Linked DNA regions of Drosophila melanogaster. The protein of the gene in region 1 purifies or fractionates together with the protein of each later gene. This does not show direct contact. Each region holds a gene or a part of one and is shown on either strand. Other genes may lie near its edges.

Region 1 (5,742 bases):
CACATCAACACAGTGTCCAAGCGCATTGGGCAATTGCAGAAACGCTACGAGAAGTGTATCGACCTGTGCCACCAGATTGAGTGCCTCACTACCGAGCAGCTGCTGCAGTTTGTGCGCCGTATAAATGATCGATACAATCGAGCTGTTACCGAGCCTGGCACAGCGGTGGGTGCCATTGCTGCGCAGAGTATTGGCGAGCCGGGCACCCAGATGACGCTTAAGACTTTCCATTTCGCTGGTGTCGCATCGATGAACATCACCCAGGGTGTACCACGTATTGTTGAGATTATAAATGCGACGAAAACCATATCGACGCCAATCATAACTGCCGAGCTGGAGAATTGCCATAGCATGGAGTTTGCGCGACAAGTCAAGGCGCGCATTGAGAAAACCACTTTGGCGGAGTTGTCCTCGTACGTTGAAGTCGTATGCGGACCATACAGCTGCTACCTGGCGATCGGTGTCGATATGGCCAGAATTAAGCTACTCGGCCTACACATTGATCTGGACACAATTGTATTTAGCATTCTGAAGTCGCGCATGCGCGTCAAGCCGACGCAGGTGGAGGTTGTTGCCAGCCAATCGCGCATTGTGGTTCGTGTGGAAGCCACGCGAACGTCGACCATAAATGCAGAGTTGGCGCGCCTGGCACTCAGTCTGCAGAACGTCGTAGTGGCGGGCCTGCCAAATATCAATCGAGCAGTTATTGCTGTCGATGATGCACGGCAGCCGCCCACGTATAAGCTGTGCATTGAGGGCTATGGACTTCGCGATGTCATCGCCACGTACGGTGTGGTGGGCAAACGCACCAGGAGTAACAACATTTGCGAAATCTATCAGACGCTGGGCATCGAAGCTGCCCGAACCATCATTATGAGCGAGATCACCGAGGTGATGGAGGGACACGGTATGAGCGTCGATTGGCGCCACATCATGCTCCTGGCCAGCCAAATGACGGCGCGTGGCGAGGTGTTGGGTATCACGCGACACGGCTTGGCCAAAATGCGTGAGAGTGTCTTCAATTTGGCATCGGTAAGAAGAGATTTCACTATGCTAAGCCGTACGTATGTATATTAATGTATTTCTTTTTTGCCACGTCAGTTTGAGAAGACGGCGGACCACTTGTTTGATGCAGCTTACTATGGCCAGACGGATGCCATCAATGGCGTTTCGGAGCGCATTATCCTGGGAATGCCAGCGTGCATTGGCACTGGCATCTTCAAGTTGCTACAACAGCACGAGGACAAGCAGGTGCCACCTATTGAGCCCACCATCTGCAGTTCCCTGAATCTGTTGCCAAGCAAAACCACATAAGAAGCGGGCCTTCTTGACGTTATACTTTTATAACTTCATTATTGTAAATAAATAGTATATACATATTTGTTCTGTCTAGCTATGTTAAGCAAATTTACCTAGATTGTACTTAGCTGCGGAAATTAAAGATGGTATTTCTTATATTTTGGAGCTTTGATTAAATTCGATTTAAAATTGCTGATGCAAATAACGAAAATATTATTATTAGTAGTATATTCAAATTTGAATTAACCGCGCAGTTCACATTCCGCCGTTCCACATTTGCTTATGTTCAAATTGCCACGACATGGTCACACTGAACGCTTGAGTTTATCAAAACAACGTGTTGTTATTAAATTATGGTTTTGATTTCTGACGCATTCGGTCTGGAAATATCCCCAAACGGGATCCTGGTTGGTATGTATATTGCCAAAACCTTGCAACGCCCTCTAATAAACATCATATACACAGGTCATGGCGATCAGGCGGTGTTATATAGCTCAGAACCCAAAGTCGAGTTGCCGGTTCAACTGCGTGAGGGAAAGGTTCGAGGATTTGCGTGGAGTTCCTTGCGTAAATCGCAAAGATTATTATTGCTATATAGCGAGAACGAATACTCCCTGATTAGGTGTACAACCAGCTCCGAAAACGATCTCTTTCAGCTCGTTTACGAGGGCGAAACCAGAGATTGGATTAATGCCGCTCTGTTTTTGGAAGATGAAAACGAGTCGGAGGATCGCAAACGATTTGTTCTTCACACATCGCACAGTGCTCTCCTTTATATGGAATATGATCTAACGTCGAATGCAGATTGCACTGTCTTGGAGCTGGCTCGATGCACCGACAGTTCCATACTCTATTACACGAAACTCCATGGGAGTTCCTTTAATAAACTGGCCATCATAAGCGGTAATGCCTTTGGAGAACTTTTGGTATGGCAAACGCAGTTTCCCACAGAATCCGATCCAAAATCTGTAATGAAAACATATCCCTTGCTCTTGCGCATTGAAGCGCACAATGGAGTGATACACTCAATTGAGTTTGACTTGCAGTCGCAGTTATTGGTTACCACATCGGATGATCGTTCGGTCAAGTTTTGGAATATACAAAAGTCTGGCGACTGGACAACAGCTGAAATAAAGCCCATGTTCAGTTGTTACGGACACAGTTCGCGTGTTATGTGCGTTGTTATACTTAAAATCGGTAAGATTTGCTTGAAATATGACTATCTTTCCTAATTTTTTATAACTATCCTTGCCATTGCAGATGACCGTACATTTGTGGCCAGCGGCGGTGAGGATTCGTACGTCTGCATCTGGAGTTCATCTGGCGAATTAATCCTAAAGCGTCGTCAGCAGTTCGGCGCGCCAATTTGGAGGCTAGGCTTCAGCCAAGACGCGGAAATCCTCTATAGCACCAGTTCAACGGGTAATTTGGTCGGGCAAAATCTTAAAGAAGTCCTCAATCGACCCAAAATTGAATCCACCATATTGAGCAGTCTAGGCGATGCAAATGAGTTCGTGCGAAATCTAAAGTTTGTCAATAATGAGATAATTGTGGGTTTGAGTAGCTTAAACCGCTTGTATTACACCCGAATATCCCCGGATTCTTCGCATGAGAACAAGTGGCTCATGGTCAATGACTTTCCGTCGTACAAACGCACTGTTTTGGAAGTATTTGATGACATTATAGCCACCTGTGGACATCGGCGCATAACACTGCATAGGTATAACACAAATACAAATGATTTTGAACAACTATTCGATGGCATTAGGATGAAGGGCACTATACGGTCATTTCAATTCCTAAGCAGAGATCGCTATCTAGTGTCCGATAACTTGGGCTACTGTCTGCTACTGCAAACCCACCAGCTGCATATAGAGTCGCACATCGCACTATTCAATAACCGCGAGCCGTGGATAACTGCGGCCCTGCTCATTTCAGAGCAATATCTATTATTGGGCAACCGCGAGGGACATGTGATGCTCTACTGCCGCAGCAGTGCCAGCGACGACTTCCAATTGAAGGACTCAATTCGGTATTTACACGGTAAAATGGGCTCGAACTTTTTTAAGTTGCTCAGTCTTAATGCGGACAATGCGCATGTGATGAGTGGTGGTCATGAGGCATTTTTAAAATACCTTAGTGTGAGATTCTCTGACTCAACACTACGTGTTAGCCAACGTGAGGGCATTCCATTGGCTTGGGTCGAAGCATCTCCATCGGATGACTTGATTTTGGGCTTCAACGACAATCACATTGTGGCCTGGTCCCGACGAAATGATATCCTCTTGCAATTGGCCTGCGGCGGAGGCCATCGTTGCTGGGACTTTCGACTGAGTGATGGTGATAGTCAACTTTCCATTGCGTATGTGAAGCAAAAGCGTGTGTACTTCTATCGCAACTCGCTCTACAATGCCGTTGACAATCGGCTTAAGGATATCGAACCCAATAACTGGCACGTACGAAATTGCAATACCCTTCGACTCATTACGCCGAGAAATCAATCCGATCCCTTTATCCTTTCCGCTGGCGATGATAATATCATAAAAGTCACCCAAGTGACCAATGACTCATTGTCTCAGCGTGCGGAAATGCACTCCCATATCTCAACAGTGCGAAGTTTGCAGGCGATTCCATACAAATCGAATGGCGGCGACTCAAGTACTTGGCTTGTTTTCTCCGTCGGCGGACGATCGCAATTGTGCATTAGCCAACTTAGCATAGATGCGAGCAATAAATGCTGGATAAGTGAAATATCCAGCCACACGCTGCACAACGTGGCCGCATCCAAAACGAGTACCATTGAAGCGCGACTAATGGCCATAGATGTTGTCCAGCATTCGGATGGGGATCTCTTTTCAATATATGTTGCAGGCGGTGATGGAAATATAAGTCACTATATATGGGAGCTTGAAACCCCCAACCAACTAGACCTAAAACATTTTGTAGACATACAAAGATGTCCACTGGGCATTCAGTGGATTGCGAGCAAGGGAATGCTGTTGGTATCCACAACAAATGGCGAAGTCTACGGTTTTGATCGTACCCTAGAAACGACATATTTTCAGCTTCAATTGCACGTAACTGGTATAAATACCATTGATATATATGTGGATAGGCATCTTTTACACATTCTATCCGGCGGGGATGATGAAAGCATTAAGTACACGGTACTCAATTTAAATAACAATAATGTAGAACAAAAAATCGAGTACTTGGGTCTTCACAATGCCCAAGTTAATGCCCTGGCAATACATTGTCCTACCAAAAGTGTCGCAGCATCCGAATTGTTCGCCTATACCTGCAGCATAGATCGTCAGATTTATAGAATAGATCTCAGTACTCATAAATATAAGCGAGTTGGTTATACGTGCATAGCAGACGTGAAAGGAATGCTCCTGGATGAACATCAGCGAATGTATTTCTACGGATGTGGATTGCAGACTATGAGCATAAGTAATATACTTTAAGAGAATATCCTTCGTGTATCATTGGCACTTTTGTACATTTGTTATGTTGTCTAGTGTTTAATAATAGAAAAGTGAAACTGCCTTATCTGTCATTTGTTTAGATGTAACTTTAGTGGCGGCAATTTTTGTATTTGTTTTTAAATAAATGTGAATGTAGAGCCTATTCAAATGCCTTGCCAAATTTGCCATGTCTTTTGCTTGCTGGTTTGGAAGAACTTTCAAAAACAAAAACACAACAAGCTAGTCTTAATTCTGTCGCTTGTTTTGCCTGTGATGTCGTCCCTTTTTCTGCTATTCATTCGCTCATCGAGTGATTCAAATATGAGAGACTACTCGATACGAGCAGAAGCCGAACTTTTGGAGTTCAGCTGGAGCTCACTCATTGGCAAAATCCAAGAGAGACGCGCCAAAATGGCAAGTAAGCAGCGAAAGTAAGTAGAACCGTACTAATATCTTAGATATTGAAATGGCTCATATCATTCACTTCATTTCCGCCACTTGTAGTTTTACAACAAACGTATTCATTCCGGATATTCGAGTGGCATTCGCACCCAACTCAAATGCTGCACTGCGACGGCTGATGGGCGATGCCCTGGGTAAACTTTCCATGTCCGAAGATAAGATTGTCGACTTTGAGAATTGCAATGATATGCGCATCCACGCCGCCTCCGAACATTATTTGGCAAGTGTCTGCTTCCGGAATGTGGATGAGTCACTAAATGGTCTGCCCACCGTGCTGAACTTTGCCATAATCATGCCGTCGGAGTTGCGCAACTACGAGGACACTTGGATTGGGGACAGCTGGAAGGAAACCACTACGCTGATGGATCGTGATGTCGCCGAGGAAGACGAGTTCGACGAGGATGGCTACACGGACTACATGGGCGAGGGTTTCGTGCCGCTGCAGTACCACATCAGCATGCAGTTCCTGAGAGCTACGGCTTCCAAGGTGGAAAAGTTACCCAAAGTCGTGATG
Region 2 (3,755 bases), on another chromosome or scaffold:
GCACGAGGAGCTCCATCTACTGCCCTGTGCATTTCCAGCAAAAGCCAACGGTCGCTCTGTCCAGCGTCGAAAGGTGGTGGTGCCCATACCAGAGCCCTCCAGACAAGCTCCAGTAAGACGGCAACGTTTAAAAAAGTGGAGCGAAGCCCAAACTCGAGAATTTCGACGTCGATGTAAGGTGGATCAAAAGAAAAGAGCTCGGGCTCGCAAGACAGCAGCGGCCAACAAAGAAAAAATAGAGCTGGAGAAGATTATGACGTTGTAAAAACCGCACTCTGATTGCATAAGTTGATTACTATTAGGGATGTAGTTACTAACTGTTACAAAACCAAAAGGTGATCCCCATAGTGGAGTTAACCGCTCGGCGTAAGGATAAGAGTTAAGTTTATATTGTTATGTATCGGAATAATAAAAATTGAACGCGGTGCTTGTGGCGCGAGCAACAAAGTTTTGATACATTTTGAGATGCACCAGAATTTACACTCATATTCATAACTTTTCATTTTTTAAAGCTTTTATTTACGTTACACAGGCACCTAACTTCTCAGACTTATTCTCATCATTCTCTAGCCATTTCTTCAACATTTCCTCATCGTGAATAACGCGAATGCCTTCATATTTTATGTTCACTTGGCTCGTTTTCTGCAGAATGTCCTGATAGGCGGCCGTCAAGGGTTGCTGCACTGGCTCTTTATACACATAGTTCTCGCCCTAAAACAAAACATTTTAGTGGTTTAAACCAAACGAAGATATAGTATTAACATACCAAATCGTATGTGCGATCCGAGTCCAACTCGCCCTTGTAGGCAACAAAGGGAACTTGAACCACGGGCGGGCTCTCCTTCTTTCTGCCCACCCACGACTCGGGTTGATCGTGCCATTCGGTCGTCAGGTTGCAAGGCTTGTAGCCATCGGGCAGACAAAACTCTCGGGCCACCACGAAGGCTTCAATGCTGGAGTTGCGCGAGGCGGAGGGCTTGAACACGCATACGTTCTTAAAGAACCGCTTGAGCTGAGTGTACAACCGACTGGTCCTGTCTGCCCGGTAGATCTTGGACACGAAGGAGCCTCCCTCTTCCAGTATGAAGGTGGATATGCTGAGGGCGGAGAGAAGTAGTTCGCCCTGAACGTACGAGTCAAAGTCGTGCATTCCAGTAGAATCGGGAGCGCCATCGCTAACAACAATCTGTGCCTTCTCGCCGCCAAAGAACTCAATTATGGCCTCGGCTGTCGACTCCTTGCTGATGTCCGCCCGCAGTTGTTTGACTCCTTCGATCGGAGCCATTCCCTGCAGGTCTACGGCGATGATCTTTACCTTTTCCCGTTCCTCTGGCGGCAGAGGCTCGTACAAGCGTTTGGCCAGCACCTGTGACCAGCTGCCAGGAGCGGCGCAAAGGTCCACGGCTCGGGTGAGACCTGAAATAAGTGGACAATTAGAATCGCTCCGAAAAACACGCGGTTGGATCTGCACCTTCTAGCAACTGAAAGGTCTCATCCGCCTGGAGCAGTTTGAAAGCACTTCGTGCACGCCATCCCTGCTCCTTGGCCAGGCGGTAGAATATGTCTCGTTTATCCTTCGAAGTCCTGCCCATTTAAAAATAATAAAAACAAAAGGGTATCAGCTGTGATACGACATCTACAGTGCTGTCGTTTTAGCCGTTTTCCCTTCAACTTTGGGAGTTTATTGGTATTAAAAACATTAAAAAGTTTGCAAGTGTGAGCTCGAATTTATAGTTTTAAAATATATATCATTCATTTTGTGTTAAAATATAATTTTATATTTAAATGGTAGATTAGGAAAAAGAATCAATTTTGTTTCCAAATCCATAGAAATAGCTACAAAATGTAGTTTAGCTTTAATCTTCATAATATTGAGTTACATATTCATTATATTTGAATTTGTTTATTTGAAATAAAACACGTACAGCTAAAATACATATCTAGTTGGATTTTCAATATTAATAGCTAAATGGCTAAATTTGCACAATCTAAATTTGCACTTCTGACAGCGCCATCCTATTTCTTTGTTATCGATAAATTTCATGCAAAATAACAAATGATTGTGTTGTTGCAGCCCAGCCCGCAGATTGAGAAATTCCTGCTATGAGAACAGGAAAATCGGCGAGATCCCGATTCCCAAATTCAACGTAGCCCGCCCCGACAACAAAAAACGAATAATGGCCAAGTTGAAGAAACTGCATATGAGCTCCAACCTTGATGACCTGGAGAAGATGTCCATCATTCCGGATCTGCGCAGCAAGGGCATGAAAATGTAAGTGGACACCGCGATTTGGTGCTGATGCGGCTGTTTTGATTTACCTGGCATTCTTCGCAGCCTACTGAACACCGCCCGCAAACTGTACATGACCGCCGAGGAGTACAGACTGGATGGCGACGAGGAACTGGCCTACATCACCTACATGAAGTACTTCAATATGCTGACCGCAATTCACAAAAAATCCGATTACCCCAGCCACAAGACGACGGTGCGCCAGATGCTGGGCGACACCGAGTCGAATCGCCGCATTATGGACACGCTGGAGGAGATTATCAACTCTCTGCGGCATCGTTATGCTCAGCAGCACCAAGCGCCGGAACCAATTGCTCCCGACCTGGTTAGCAATGGGCGTGCGGGTGTGGACTCGCCGATAACACAGCCAACGCAGTACGCCCGACTTGGGCTGATAACCTGTCAGGATCTGTATCGGCGCATGCAGGAGAAATCGGTCCTAGTTATGGACTGTCGCCCAAGCGCCGACTACGAGGCCTCCCACCTCACGTACTACTGTGCATTTAATGTGCCCGAGGAGTTGATAACGCCAGGGTGAGTTGTCCATTATAATAATCTCGCTATTTGGATACTAACTTATTGGATTTACACAGAATGTCGGCTGGCAGATTGCAGGCTCGTCTTAGCAGCAGCGCCAAGGCGTCGTGGGCATCGCGTTCCGTCAAGGATTCGGTGGTTCTTATGGACTGGAACACCAAAGATGCCCAACCGGCGACCAACACAGCCATTTCAACCCTTCTGGACATCCTGAAGAACGTGAGTATGGGTGGTATTTAGCCATAGATTACATATAATCATTATTTTCTGGTAGTGGGATCCGGATGTGACGTATCGCGCACCCATTCAAATTGTCGAGGGCGGTTATGAGTACTTCATTATGATGTACCCGACCCATTGCACTAATCCCAGTGTGCAGGCGCCGCAGCAGAACAACAACGACATTGAGACCATCGATGATATCGAGTATCCCTCAATCCACGACATCACCATGAAGGAGGATATTAGTGCGAAGGACTTCAGACCGCGTCCAGACTTCAATCGGGCCAACAAGCCAGCGGCCACTCGCGTTAATGAACAGGGAATTTCCCGTCCTTCTCCGCCGGCTAAGCCCATTGCTGAGATCATGCGTGATCAGGCCGAGTTTTTGCAGCGCGCAGAGCAGAACGATGAGCAGTTGGAGAAGGCCTCAAAAATGTGGAAGCGTCAAGCAGCAGAGGGCGATGGTTTGAATGCTACCGAGGACCAGGAGTTGCACTTCAGGATCCTACAGTTGGAGAGCAAGGCCCAGGACTATGTAAGATCTATAAATTACCTTATAAGGTTCGATTAATTGTTCGTTTGTGTCGTAGATCGTGGAAAACAATCGTCTGCGAGAAGAACTAAGTCGCATACAAGAGCTACACAATGTTACGCAGCAGTTGTCGCAAAAGGAGGTCGAGGCAACGAGGAATATAGAATCCAAGAT

Evidence for each region.
Region 2: the proteins of CG33172 (region 1) and Trm7-34 purify together in Drosophila melanogaster (affinity purification with western blotting, with the first as the bait; one study listed by BioGRID). This does not show direct contact.

Annotation. Positions count from the first base shown.
Region 1 is NC_004354.4:15,768,059-15,773,800, forward strand, and holds CG33172 (uncharacterized protein), read left to right. Parts: upstream 1-1,605; 5' UTR 1,606-1,652; coding exon 1,653-1,710; intron 1,711-1,764; coding exon 1,765-2,496; intron 2,497-2,559; coding exon 2,560-4,766; 3' UTR 4,767-4,927; downstream 4,928-5,742. Other genes in the region: Polr3A (RNA polymerase III subunit A), read left to right, coding at 1-1,032, 1,102-1,314; CG43672 (uncharacterized protein), read left to right, coding at 4,935-5,197, 5,271-5,742. UniProt on the Drosophila melanogaster protein: Together with methyltransferase Trm7-34, methylates the 2'-O-ribose of nucleotides at position 34 of the anticodon loop of substrate tRNAs.
Region 2 is NT_033777.3:21,132,234-21,135,988, forward strand, and holds Trm7-34 (tRNA methyltransferase 7-34), read right to left. Parts: upstream 1,649-3,755; 5' UTR 1,593-1,648; coding exon 1,472-1,592; intron 1,417-1,471; coding exon 767-1,416; intron 712-766; coding exon 520-711; 3' UTR 501-519; downstream 1-500. Other genes in the region: Ice2 (uncharacterized protein), read left to right, coding at 1-265; Usp8 (ubiquitin specific protease 8), read left to right, coding at 2,178-2,272, 2,336-2,824, 2,884-3,046, 3,102-3,584, 3,640-3,755. UniProt on the Drosophila melanogaster protein: Methylates the 2'-O-ribose of nucleotides at position 34 of the tRNA anticodon loop of substrate tRNAs. May require WDR6 for methylation of the nucleotide at position 34 of the anticodon loop of substrate tRNAs. Plays a role in neurogenesis.